Ovis aries: one gene and its partners. The protein of the gene in region 3 interacts with the protein of the main gene of each other region in a biochemical or structural test. Links are inferred from orthologs where the notes say so. Each region holds a gene or a part of one and is shown on either strand. Other genes may lie near its edges. The genes, in order: RAPGEF2, RAPGEF5 and RAP1A.

Region 1 (4,084 bases), on a different chromosome or scaffold from region 3:
GCGCCTTCCGCCCCGGCGCTGAGACTCGTCGCCTCCCCGAGGCCAGGTGGAGCGGGGCCCCCGCCAGCCCCGCCAGGGCGCTGCCAGCCCGGGCCGCCGGGCCACCCGGCTCACCTGGGCCGCCGAAGGTGCCGCTCGCCGGCGAGGGCGCGGCCGGCGGGCCTACAGGCTGGGGGCTCGGGGGCGGGCCCGGGCGCAGGACGCCCGGCCCCCGCCGACGCGGCGCGAGCCCACTGGCCGCAGACCCGTCACTCACTCTTCACCATGGTTGCAGCACAAAGCGACCGGCCCCGGAGGCCGCTTCCTCCCTAAGGAGCCGCGGGGCGGCGCGGAGGCGCAGGAGGAGGAAGAGGCGGGGAAGAGGAGGGGAGTCGCCGCTGCCCAAACACTCTCCGGGGGGCTGCGCGCGACGCCCGCCGCCGGGAGTCCGGACCCGGCTGCCCACGGCCCCTTCCCTCCGCGCCCTCAGACCGGGAACAAAGTTGCCGAGAGTCAGGCGGCCGAGGGCGCAGCCGGGGGCGCTCTGGCCGCTCCGCGCGCGCCAATGGGGGGAGGCGGCGGCGGCGGAGCGCACGGCGGCTGCCGGGGCGGCGGCGGCGGCGGGGCGGCCCGAGGGGATGCAGCGGCAGCCGGGGGGCTCGGCGGAGCTCAGTAGACAGAGCTCCGGCGCGGCGGAGCCGGAGACCGAGGCGATTCAGCTCCGGAGCGCCCGGACCTGAGACAGTCCTCAGACGGCGGCCGCGGAGCCGGAGTGCCTTCCGGAGACCCCGAGAGGAGGGGGCGGCCCTGCGCCCGGAGGAGCGGGAGGCCCGCGCGCCCCGGCCTCCCCCCTCACCGCGGCTCGAACTCCCTAAAAATAACTCAGGCCCGGGAGGGCCGGGAGGAGCCGCCGCCGGCCCCGAGAGGAGCCGGGGAGGCGTGTCGATCCAGGGCCCGGAGGGAGCCTTCCCGACCGCGCGGCGCAGAGGAGGCGGAGGAGGCGGAGGAAGCAGGAGCTCCCGGCTGCCGGGCGCCTCGGGGACCCTCGGGCCTCACGCCCCCCGCCCCGCCGCGCGCCCGGGGCCCCGCCGCCCGGCCGCCGCCGCGGTTTGGCTGGTTGGCCGGAGGCGGGCGGGCGGAGCGCGCAGGGCGGAGGCGGCGGCAGCGGCGGCGGCGCTGGGCCGGGAGGAGGCGGCCGAGGGCGCGGAGCGGCCCCGGCCCGGGCCGCGGGGGGAGATGGCGTCCTACGTGGATAACAGCTTCCGCCAGGCGGTGATGAAGAACCCGGCCGAAAGGACCCCCCAGGTGAGACCCGTGTCGGCGGCGCCCTCCCAGTCCCCACGCCTCCCGACGCCGTTTGCCCCGCGCACCCGCGCCTCCCATTAGGTCCCCAACTTCCAGTGGCTTCATCGGGTCGTCCTGGCGTTATTTTCCCCTCTCTTGGGTCTTCTTGTTTTCGCTGCCCTCTCGGTACTGTCCTGCTCCCGCGATTGTCCGGCGGGGCAGAGAGGTCTTTCCCGAGCGTCCCGGCTTCCCAGCCGCTCGCTGGGCCTGCGAGTCAGCGGGGGTGACCTCCCCTCGGCCGTCCTTCTTGTCCCACCGGTCTCAGTGCTTCCTTCCTCCGCGAGCCTATGGCCCCTTCTGCCTTCAGAGTTCTTGGGTGTTTGCAGAGGTGTTGAGGAAACTTAGAGGGCTCTGCGAAAGACAAATTCGCGGTGGCCTTCTAAAGTGAAACGTTGAGATGTTTGTATATTTACTGTTTTGCTTTTTTTGGGGGGGAAAGGATGTCGCTTTCCAAGGAAGGGAGGAAGAAAGTTGGATAGCTAGGTTACTCAGACAGAATTGCAGATCAGGCATGTTCAAATACTAATCCCCACCTCCTCCCCCGCCCCCGGGAAGGGCACCCTGCGGATTCTTCTGGTGTTGCACAACCTTGTCAAAATTAGGTAAGTTTGTTAACCTTTATACGTTTCGTTTACCTTCAGGCTTATTTTTCTCTGGCTTTAAGTGGAGGAATTGCTGATGGTGTTGGATCTGGTCGTCTCTAGTTGGACTAGAAAGGGGGAGATGTATAAAAGTGTGGTGGTTTGATTTTTTTTTGCTTGTAGTTGCTGACTGGATAATGACGCATGCGTTGGGATGGTGACTCCAGGGGATCCTGCTGCCAACCTTCTTAAGACAAATAAGCCCTCCTGATCCTTGGGACCATCAGACATTTAGGATCTAGTGCTTGAAAGAGTGGCTTCGCTTGTTAGGTGTTGGATGCCATCTGTTCACATCCAAATGCTCTCCTTCTCTGCCGTTGACGGTTGTTATTTAATGCGGGGAAAAGAGGATAAAATAGACTCTTCCACCGGCTGCCTTTTGGGCAAGGCCCAGGAATGGCACCTGGTATCGTTTTTCATTTTTTTTTTTTTTCTGATGTAGCCGTCACATCTGGGGAGTGTAGCTAGAGTGCGCATATTTACCAAACGTGTGGAAGATGGGTGATAAATTTTACAAGGAAAATTCAGTTCACACTGTCACCGGAAAGTTCCCGTTCTAAAGGATTACTTTACCAAAAACAAGGACTGTGCTGCTCAGGTCCTGTTGCACTGCCTCTCCTGTGCCTTTTCCACCTACTGTTTGTTTTGCGGTTGGCAATCACTCAGTCCTCTGCATCTGAAACTGTAGGTTCTCAGCCACAGTGTGATGGAAAAGCTAATTTCAGTGAAGTGTTTCAATGCCTTTCAGTGTTTGAGGTGCCAAGTGAAATCACACATGCTGAGAATATTAGAACTCAGTAAGGTGGTCAGAAAATGATGTCAGAGGCCTTGGGTGGAAATTAGAGAGGGGGAAGTGGTGTGTTCGGTTGGTTGATTAGAATAGCAATGACTCAATACCTACTATCAGGTGGTGGTGGTGGGGGTAGTCGGTCACCAAACAAGCCTGAAAGAGGCAGAATGTCCACTGTGACAGTGCGTGGATTGTGCCAAAGAAATGAACTGTTAAACTTTCCTGTTTCTGTGCCAGCTCTGGAGAACAGAGTGAAAACAGACCAACGTAGAACTTGGCCTGAGTCAGAAGTGGGCCAGTTGGTACTGACACCAACAGTGTGGAAGCTTCACTGACAGCCTGAAAGCAGCATATCTATCTCCCTCCCCCGAGCCCCTCCACACACACCTTCACAGAACAAGTCACCTTCAAGAAACTTAGCAAACATTTTGAACTTTCATAAGTGTCCGCCCTATTAATTTTAAAGCTCAATGCAAACCTCCATGTTTATCATTTTAAAGAGAAAGTAGTTGGTAAGGTGAATGCTTCCCATCTTTACCTGGCTTGTTAAAAAGAATTACTCTTCTTCTAAAAGTTTGAAATTTACTCAGAAGTAAAAAAAAGAAAAACAACTTTGGTATCAGGTGCCTTTTCTGTTGAGTGCTTTGTGAATGCAAGGACTGGAAGTTTTCCTGCACTCTCTTTTTTCATGACTACTTGAGAGTTAGAATTTTGTAATATAAAAGCCAAGTTATTAAACCTATGAACAGACACACGTGAATCAGGAAAGTTTTGATGTTCTTCCTTCTGTTTTTCAGATAGATTTATGAGGAGTTTGTATGATTCTTATGACAAGCAAAAGAAAGGCGCTTTAAGAAAAAAGATAGAGGAAAAAAACATATATATATATATATATATATATATATATATATAGTTAAATTCATTTCCTTTTATTTTTTAATCCCACCAACGCAGTCTCCTAAACCCCGAGAAGACATACTTTTGTATCAGGTCAGTCAGTTGCCTAGACGTAATCATGCTGTCACTTGTATAACCTAAAAAGTTAGCTAAGAAGTTAAAGAGGTTTTGGGGGCAGGGAGAACCTCAGTGCAGACACAGGGACTTTGAAAATTATAATGAAATTAGGAAGCTTTTCATAGCCACCTGGGAAATGGAATCCATTTTTCCCATTTATTTAGGCACTTCAATAGAGGGGGGATGGTAAGGAGAAGCAAGCAAAATTGTCACCCGAATTTTTAGCCAGATGTTGTGCATTCAGATTTAAGGGGCTGTCACTGTTTCGCCTGATATTCTGGGAGGAGGAAAAAAAGCTATCTTTAATCCAGTATGT
Region 2 (3,649 bases), on a different chromosome or scaffold from region 3:
AAATAAACATAGTTAATAGAAATGGATGATCCTCACATACTCTTTTCTTACTTGCTTTCCTAATTAACAGTATATTGTGGATGCCCTGTGTCAGCAAATAGAGTGCTGGACCATCAGCCTTATGGCTACAAAAGAGTCCTTTAAATGGATATGCAGTAATTTATTTAACTGTTTTCAGTGGTTGAAGCCTTTAAGTTACACCTATTTAATTTTTTTTATCTCAGGGAAAATTAAATTAGCAGCCCTTTTTACTTACATTTGTACACTTATCCATTTCTTTTTTTTTTCCATGTAAATTCCTGGGGGTGGACAGTTGAATCACACCACAAATTATGCTCCAGAAATCTATGCTCATTTGGCACTACTTTAGAATGTAAATTTCTGAGGATCAAAGTGTACGTGGCCTACTTCTGATGTCATCTTGATGGAAACAGTGTCCACCTATGTAGTGAGGCCAGATCTCTTGAAGCCACCCTTGTGATTAATGGCCCATCTGGTATCTCTTCAAAGTGACATTAACCCGCACTGCTTGTGGAACTGTGTGATACATTTGTCAGTTTGACCATCCAGTCCTTATCCTCATGGCCTGCCACCAAGTGTATGTAAATCACTTTCCTGGGTTCCCTTTTGCTTTTTTCAGGGCACACCTGTTACTTTCCCTACACATGTTCTTTTCTTCCTACGTATACAGATACTTGTAGATTTTTTTCAAAAACGTGCTGTAACATATTTTGTGAAAATAATAAATGGATCTCTTCATATTTTTACTTGCAACAATGCAGTATTCTTTCTTAACTATTTGCACCTATTCTGCTAAGAAGTATCAAGGCAAAGAAGAAAATTCAGACGTTCCTTGTCGGAAACGGAAGGTCTTGCATCTTGTTTCCCAGTGGATTGCTCTGTACAAAGACTGGTTACATGAAGATGAACATTCAAAAATGTTTTTAAAGGTAATGTAAAACTTCCAGTTATTCAGTTACTCTTTGATGCTGAATGACTGATTTTATTTTCAGTTGTGCGTTTCAGTAATCTCATTTGTATGTTACAGTCCTCTAACTTGTTTGTAATATTGAAGTTATGATTCAAAGTATTTGTTTGTTTTGACTTCTGAAGCCAAATATTATTTACATAGTTAGAAAATTTTAACTTTAAATAATTCTATGTGAATAAATGTAGAAGGCAAGTTTTAAAGTCACTCATTTAAGGTTATTTATTTTACATGTCATGAGAATTTTGATTGCAAATGAAATAATTCAGGGAGGTTAAATAAAACATACTTTAAAATTTGATACTGCCTAATATGTTGAGATGTATTATAGGTTTAAACTAACCAGTCCCATATCTACAATAGTGGGATAAAACATCATTTTTATCATATAAGAACATATATATTGACAATGTATACATTATGAAACTTTTTCATGACCTGGTGTATTTTGAGACATTTAAAACAATCATAACTTATAAAATTGATGCTAAACCTAGATTTACATTTTAAATTAGGTAAGCTGATACGTGTTTCTAATCATGAGTAGGCTGCCGTGTCTTTTCAACACAGATGATTCTCTGGAGACAGTTTGTAGACAGCTGGACTCTTTTAGCCACCAAAAGCATGTTAGCTGTGCAGGTCAATTCAGATAAGGGGTGCAGTGGAATCCGTGCGGGGAAGAGTTCTATTTCAGAAGAGGCAAGTGTCTAAACTGACTTTGTCTTCATGAAAGAAGTCATTTTGATTTCAAAATTAAAATCTCTTTAGACATCCAGTTAAAAACTGGTTTAAACCAAGTCTCTGACTAAACTATTGTTATTTTCAAAACAACTGGTTAGTTTAATTCAACAGATTTCTTTTTCCTTCCCAAATGATTGCTGCTAAGTCACTTCAGTCATGTCCAACTCTGTGCGACCCCATAGACTGCAGCCCACCAGGCTCCCCCGTCCCTGGGATTCTCCAGGCAAGAACACTGGAGTGGGTTGCCATTTCCTTCTCCAATGCATGAGAATGAAAAGTGAAAGTGAAGTCGCTCAGTCATGTCCGACTCTTAGCGACCCCATGGACTGCAGCCCCCCAGGCTCCTCCATCCGTGGGATTTTCCAGGCAAGAGTACTGGAGTGGGGTGCCATTGCCTTCTCCAACCCAAATGATTGTGTGGCTTTTATTTCTAAAAATACATTGTAGAACAGGCCTGGGAATTTTGAGTAGCTCCTACCTACCCATCGCCCCTAAGAGTTTTGTGGCCCCAGAGAGCCACACAGTTGAGCAAGGGGCCCTAGGGTAGAACCCCCACTCAGGAGCTCTTTGGTGCCTGGTTTAACCCCTTGCATTGTTCTGGATTCCACTTATCTCTCTGATCAGGTTACCCACTGTTTGAGTCTTAATCCTTACAAAATAGACACCAGACCAATTCACCTGCCATTTTCTGCCCCCACCCCACCCCACCCCAGACCATATACAGGAATGTGCTGGATGATGTCTATGAATACCCAATCCTTGAAAAAGAGCTGAAAGAATTTCAGAAGATACTTGGAATGCACCGTCGTCAGTAAGTGTTTCATTTTCCTCATCACATATAGTAAGAGAAAGCAGCAACACATATGACAGAATTGGAGGTGTCTCAGAAAGATCCTTTTGAACATTTCAGATCTGGGATTTATCTCGATTATCTCGATTTATCTCGATTCATTAGGTTTCCTAGTAGTAAATAAGTATTTTGTTTTTATGTCTCAAGATGAGTGAACACTAAATTAAGCTTATTGGCTATTTTTTAAAAAATCCTGTTCAATATGATAGGAACCAGTTGAGCCATGATAGTCTGGGTGGATAAAAACAATTATTTAATGAATTATTATTTATTTTTATAAGTGTAAATATTTAACTTGTCATTTCAGGGTTCATAGCTATCTCTAATAGGATAGGAAAAAACGTTTTATAAACAAGTCCCAGCAAACCAGCAAACCCAGCAAAACAAACCCAGCAAAATGGCACATGTTTAAAGTTCATTTTATGGATTCCCTGAGGTTTCTTTATCAATTTAGAAAAATTGAAGGGAAGTACTTACTCTGACTTTTGTCATGTCCAGGTATCACTGAGGTGTCTATCATTAGTCTTTCAAATTGCTAATAGCTGATTTTACTCTGATTTACCACTAACTCTTCTTCATAATTTTGGTAAATGAAAACATTGAGTCATTGTTCAGTTTTCAGATATACCTGCAAAGGTAATCTGAAGGGAAATATTATTCTCTGATTTACAATGTAGTTTCTACTTTTTAAACATAAAACACATCTGTTGTCAAGTTGTGATAAACATATTAAGATTTCAGCAGTCACAAATGGTGCTTCTCATAGAAAATGTTAATTCAAGCCTTTCACACTGTCAGAGACTTCAAGCCTGACTTGTATTTAGTAAAGGAAGATCCTGTGCAGTGAAGGCTATATAAATAATTTTAGGGTGTAAACAAATCGTGTGTAAACCTTTGTCCCAGGCATGAAAATCACACATTTAGAAGTTCAGAAATGAGCTACAGGTTGTTAATAATGAATGTGATGAATTTTGGTGGTCGTCTTTTATCATCACATTCTACACTGTAAAAAATTTCTATCGCCTAAGACTAATATGAAAATATGAACAAGCAAATGAAGCAAAAATGAA
Region 3 (3,649 bases):
CAAAAATTAAAATTATGATTAGCCATTTTTTCAAGATAACATCTATGAAATAGTAATTCTACAGCAGGGAAAGCTGAAACAGGAAGCATTTCACACTTCCTTTCATTACTTGGCAGTGAATTAGAAGTGAGTGTTGCTGAAGATCACAGCAGAACTTTTCCCCCATTGGTATGTAAACTTCTTTAGGGGACGACCAGTGTCTGTCCAGAAGAGTGTTACTGATGCCTAACACAGGGCCAGGCACACAGGGACATGATGAATACTCACTGAATAAATAAAATCTGTGAATTTCTTATTTTTATGTATTTATTTTAGCTGGTTTTACCTAAGAGGCAAGTTTTGACATTCTTTATTTTTGTAAAACAGAGGATGTGTATCAAGCTTAAATTTTGTTCACGCCACATGTTTAAAATAATATGGTCATTGTCTATAACCATAATCTCAGTCAAGAAAAAGAGACCGAAAGGACCAAAGGCTGGAGAGGAATGGCAAGCAAAAACACACAGAAGACTCTGACAACCTAACCCAGTCTTAACTTTCACCTGTGTGGTGTGCTGAATTCTGACTGACTGCCTGTGATCCTATAAATGGCAAAAGAAAGAAAGTGAAAGTAAAGTGGCTCAGTCATGGCCAACTCTTTGTGACCCCCACGGACTGTAGCCTACCAGGCTCCTCTGCCCGTGGGATTTTCCAGGCAAGAGTACTGGAGTGGGGTGCCATTTCCTTCTCCAGGGGATCTTCCCGACCCAGGGATCAAACCCAGGTCTGCCGCCTTGTAGGCAGATGCTTTACCATCTGAGCCACCAGGGAAGTCCTAAAAATAAATGGCAAGCACACTGGCAAATGAGAACATTTGCTCTACTAGGAAAGGAAAGAAGTCTATTTCATTTTTTTGTTTGTTTTAAAGTCTGATGTTAAAATTAACAAAAGCAAGGGAATCTCTTAATATTTTGCTTGGATGTGGTGGTGGCAATGGGGAACTGCACTCATCTTTTAGGGATCCAGTAAACTATTGGCCCTTTACACTCAGGCAGACAAGCTCACTTGTTACGCATTCCTGTCCCCAGCTGTGTTCTCAGGATAGCGGAATGCTTAAGTCATGGACAGAAAAAGCCTTGTACACCTGCTCGAACAGGCCTAAGAGACAGGGTGAATTATAGCTCTGTATCCATCCACTCACACAGATTCTTCCTTTTGAGTCATACACCAAAGGGAAGCAGAACTCAAATTACATGACGTCTTTCTGTACAACATAAGTTCATTATAGTAACTACCTTGATTTCTGTATTTTTCTACTGAATTTTACAACCTATTTACACACATCTGCATAGTTAATTGTTGTAAGACAAGGGTGATGTGCCAATTTTCACATACCACTTTCTGGTATATCGTTGAGAGGCTTAGCAGGACTTTAAAAGACACTTTCTTTAACTTAAACTTCCCCTTTGCCAACAAGGTAAGTATATGTGTTCTCATTATAGCCATCAAAGTGACTTTATACAGAGAAGGAATATAGTTTCTAGGAATTAGTGTTTTCCATAAACTAATGAAGACTGCTTAAAAGGGCACTGCTTTTTCTTTTTAAAAAGTTGTTTTTGACTGTTAGCTTGAAAGAAGGGAAGCTAAAAAGGCATTTATTTGTGCTGCCTCACAGCTGTTGGTTACCTCATTAACGTTGATCTTTGACTTTGCAGAAGATTCTAAAAAGGCACAGTTACACCACTGTCTTGCTAAATTCTGACCCTGTTCTTTGCCAACTACTCGCTCGTCTTCCAGGTCACATTTATTGCCAACCAAAATCATTGGAACCTGTGGAAAGGAAAAAATATATAATAAGCAACTAACATACTTGTTACTCAGCTTCTTATAAGCAAGCAACTACCCTCCACCAACTAAAATGTGTTAGGATTATTAGTTTCACCAAAGAAAAGTGAAAAGTGAAAGTCACTCAGTCATGTCAGACTCTTTGCGACTCCATGACTGTAGCCTGCCAGGCTCCTCTGTCCATGGAATTTTCCAGGCCAGAATACTGGAGTGGGAGCCATTCCCTTCTCTAGGGGATCTTCCCGACCCAGGTCTTCCACATTTCGGGCAGATTCCTTATCGTCTGAGCCACCAGGGAAGCCCATAAGCTTCACCAAGTGCTTTAAAAAAGGTGTATGTATGTGTGTTGGGGAAAAGACGAAAGTGGAGAGATAGGAAAAAATGGACAAGATTCTACCACACTGATCTGCTAAAATCACTTTAAGAATATAATCCCCAAATTCTCATGTGCACTCATGCTAATGGCTGAATTCCAAGTAGAAAAATGTGAAGGAAAAGGAAACGCCTGCAATACAGAGAAGAACATACTCAATGGTCTGGGTGTGTCTTAAGTGCCTCAACTCACAGGACCAACAAACGTCAAAAACACGGCCCAACCAACACAGCAGTAAGTTTTACTTCTAGGTCTGAACACTAGCTTAGGTGAGACATGAAGGGAGAATAAGACTAAACATAAAGCCACTGAGCAGCTACGTCTTCATCTATGATTCGATCTTCAGTTTATTACATGGGATAAAGAGATTAACATTATCAGAGTTCAGTGATTTGCATGTAACTGCCTACGAAAAAAGAACTCTCGTAGATGAATCAGTCATGGGAAGAAAGAGAACTATTCATTAGGTTATGGCTGGTCATGAGTCATATGGTGCAAATCCCTCCTGCCTACAACATTACCCAGTTATGGTGCTGAGCAGGTGCCTGTGTCCCATTAATAATGAGTGAGAACACACAGAAACAGAAGAGAAGGTACACATGAAATTTGATACCCTAACTTATACAACTTTTGAAAAGGAACTTTGTAACTCAAAACTGAGACAAACATGTAAAACACAGATTTCATCTTTGCAAAAAGGCACAACGTTATTCATCAAATAAGAATTCTAAAACAGTATATTTTACCACAATAAAAAATTAACATTAAAAAAATCTAAAACAAAAAAATTATAAAAACTCAGTTAAGTAAAATATTTAACATAATTCAAAGGAAATAGCTAAGTAAAAACTGTACAGAGAGAATTTTAGAAATGGGAACATAGCATTATGGTTCTTGATAATGTTCTTTGAACACTGGTTTTGACACTAACTAACTACCACCTTTCCAAGCAAAACCTGAGTCCCCCTTCTGCTACCAAATATTCTTTGACTCTTTTTTCACTACACTTGTGACCCATGTAGCACATGGTGGGTCCTAAGTGCAGCAGAGAAAGAAGAACTTTACATACATGTCCTTCATGTCATGGGCTTCATTTCTAACCATCTCATTGGCATATCTGTTGTTTAGTTGCTACGTCGTGTCTGACTCTTTTACAACTCCATGGACTGTTGCCTGCCAGGCTCCTCTGTCCATGCAATTTTCTAGGCAAGAATACTGGAGTGGTTTGCCATTTCCTTCTCCAGGGGCTCTTCCTGACCCAGGGACTGAGCCCGTGTCTCCTGCTTGGCAAGTGGACTCTTTACCACTGAGCCACCTGGGATGTCCTCTCAGTATATTATCTGTGGGTAAATTTAGAAAGCTTAAAATTGTTTTTGGTTACCAGGCCTCTTTTAGGCACAAGGTAGATACCCTCCGAGTTCCTATTGATAGAGAAAATGGATATTTTATATT

The links.
Region 1: the proteins of RAP1A (region 3) and RAPGEF2 form a complex in vitro, tested with the Homo sapiens proteins (2 studies listed by BioGRID and IntAct, with this or other methods). The link is inferred for Ovis aries from reciprocal best matches to the Homo sapiens genes RAP1A and RAPGEF2.
Region 2: of the proteins of RAP1A (region 3) and RAPGEF5, one has a biochemical effect on the other in vitro, tested with the Homo sapiens proteins (2 studies listed by BioGRID). The link is inferred for Ovis aries from reciprocal best matches to the Homo sapiens genes RAP1A and RAPGEF5.

What each region holds. Positions count from the first base shown.
Region 1 is NC_056070.1:40,130,763-40,134,846, reverse strand, and holds the start of RAPGEF2 (rap guanine nucleotide exchange factor 2), read left to right. Parts: upstream 1-1,157; 5' UTR 1,158-1,215; coding exon 1,216-1,284; intron 1,285-4,084. UniProt on the Homo sapiens protein: Functions as a guanine nucleotide exchange factor (GEF), which activates Rap and Ras family of small GTPases by exchanging bound GDP for free GTP in a cAMP-dependent manner.
Region 2 is NC_056057.1:31,870,401-31,874,049, reverse strand, and holds part of RAPGEF5 (rap guanine nucleotide exchange factor 5), read left to right. Parts: intron 1-805; coding exon 806-950; intron 951-2,442; coding exon 2,443-2,540; intron 2,541-3,649. UniProt on the Homo sapiens protein: Guanine nucleotide exchange factor (GEF) for RAP1A, RAP2A and MRAS/M-Ras-GTP. Its association with MRAS inhibits Rap1 activation.
Region 3 is NC_056054.1:89,126,654-89,130,302, reverse strand, and holds part of RAP1A (ras-related protein Rap-1A), read right to left. Parts: intron 1,810-3,649; coding exon 1,666-1,809; intron 1-1,665. UniProt on the Homo sapiens protein: Counteracts the mitogenic function of Ras, at least partly because it can interact with Ras GAPs and RAF in a competitive manner. Together with ITGB1BP1, regulates KRIT1 localization to microtubules and membranes.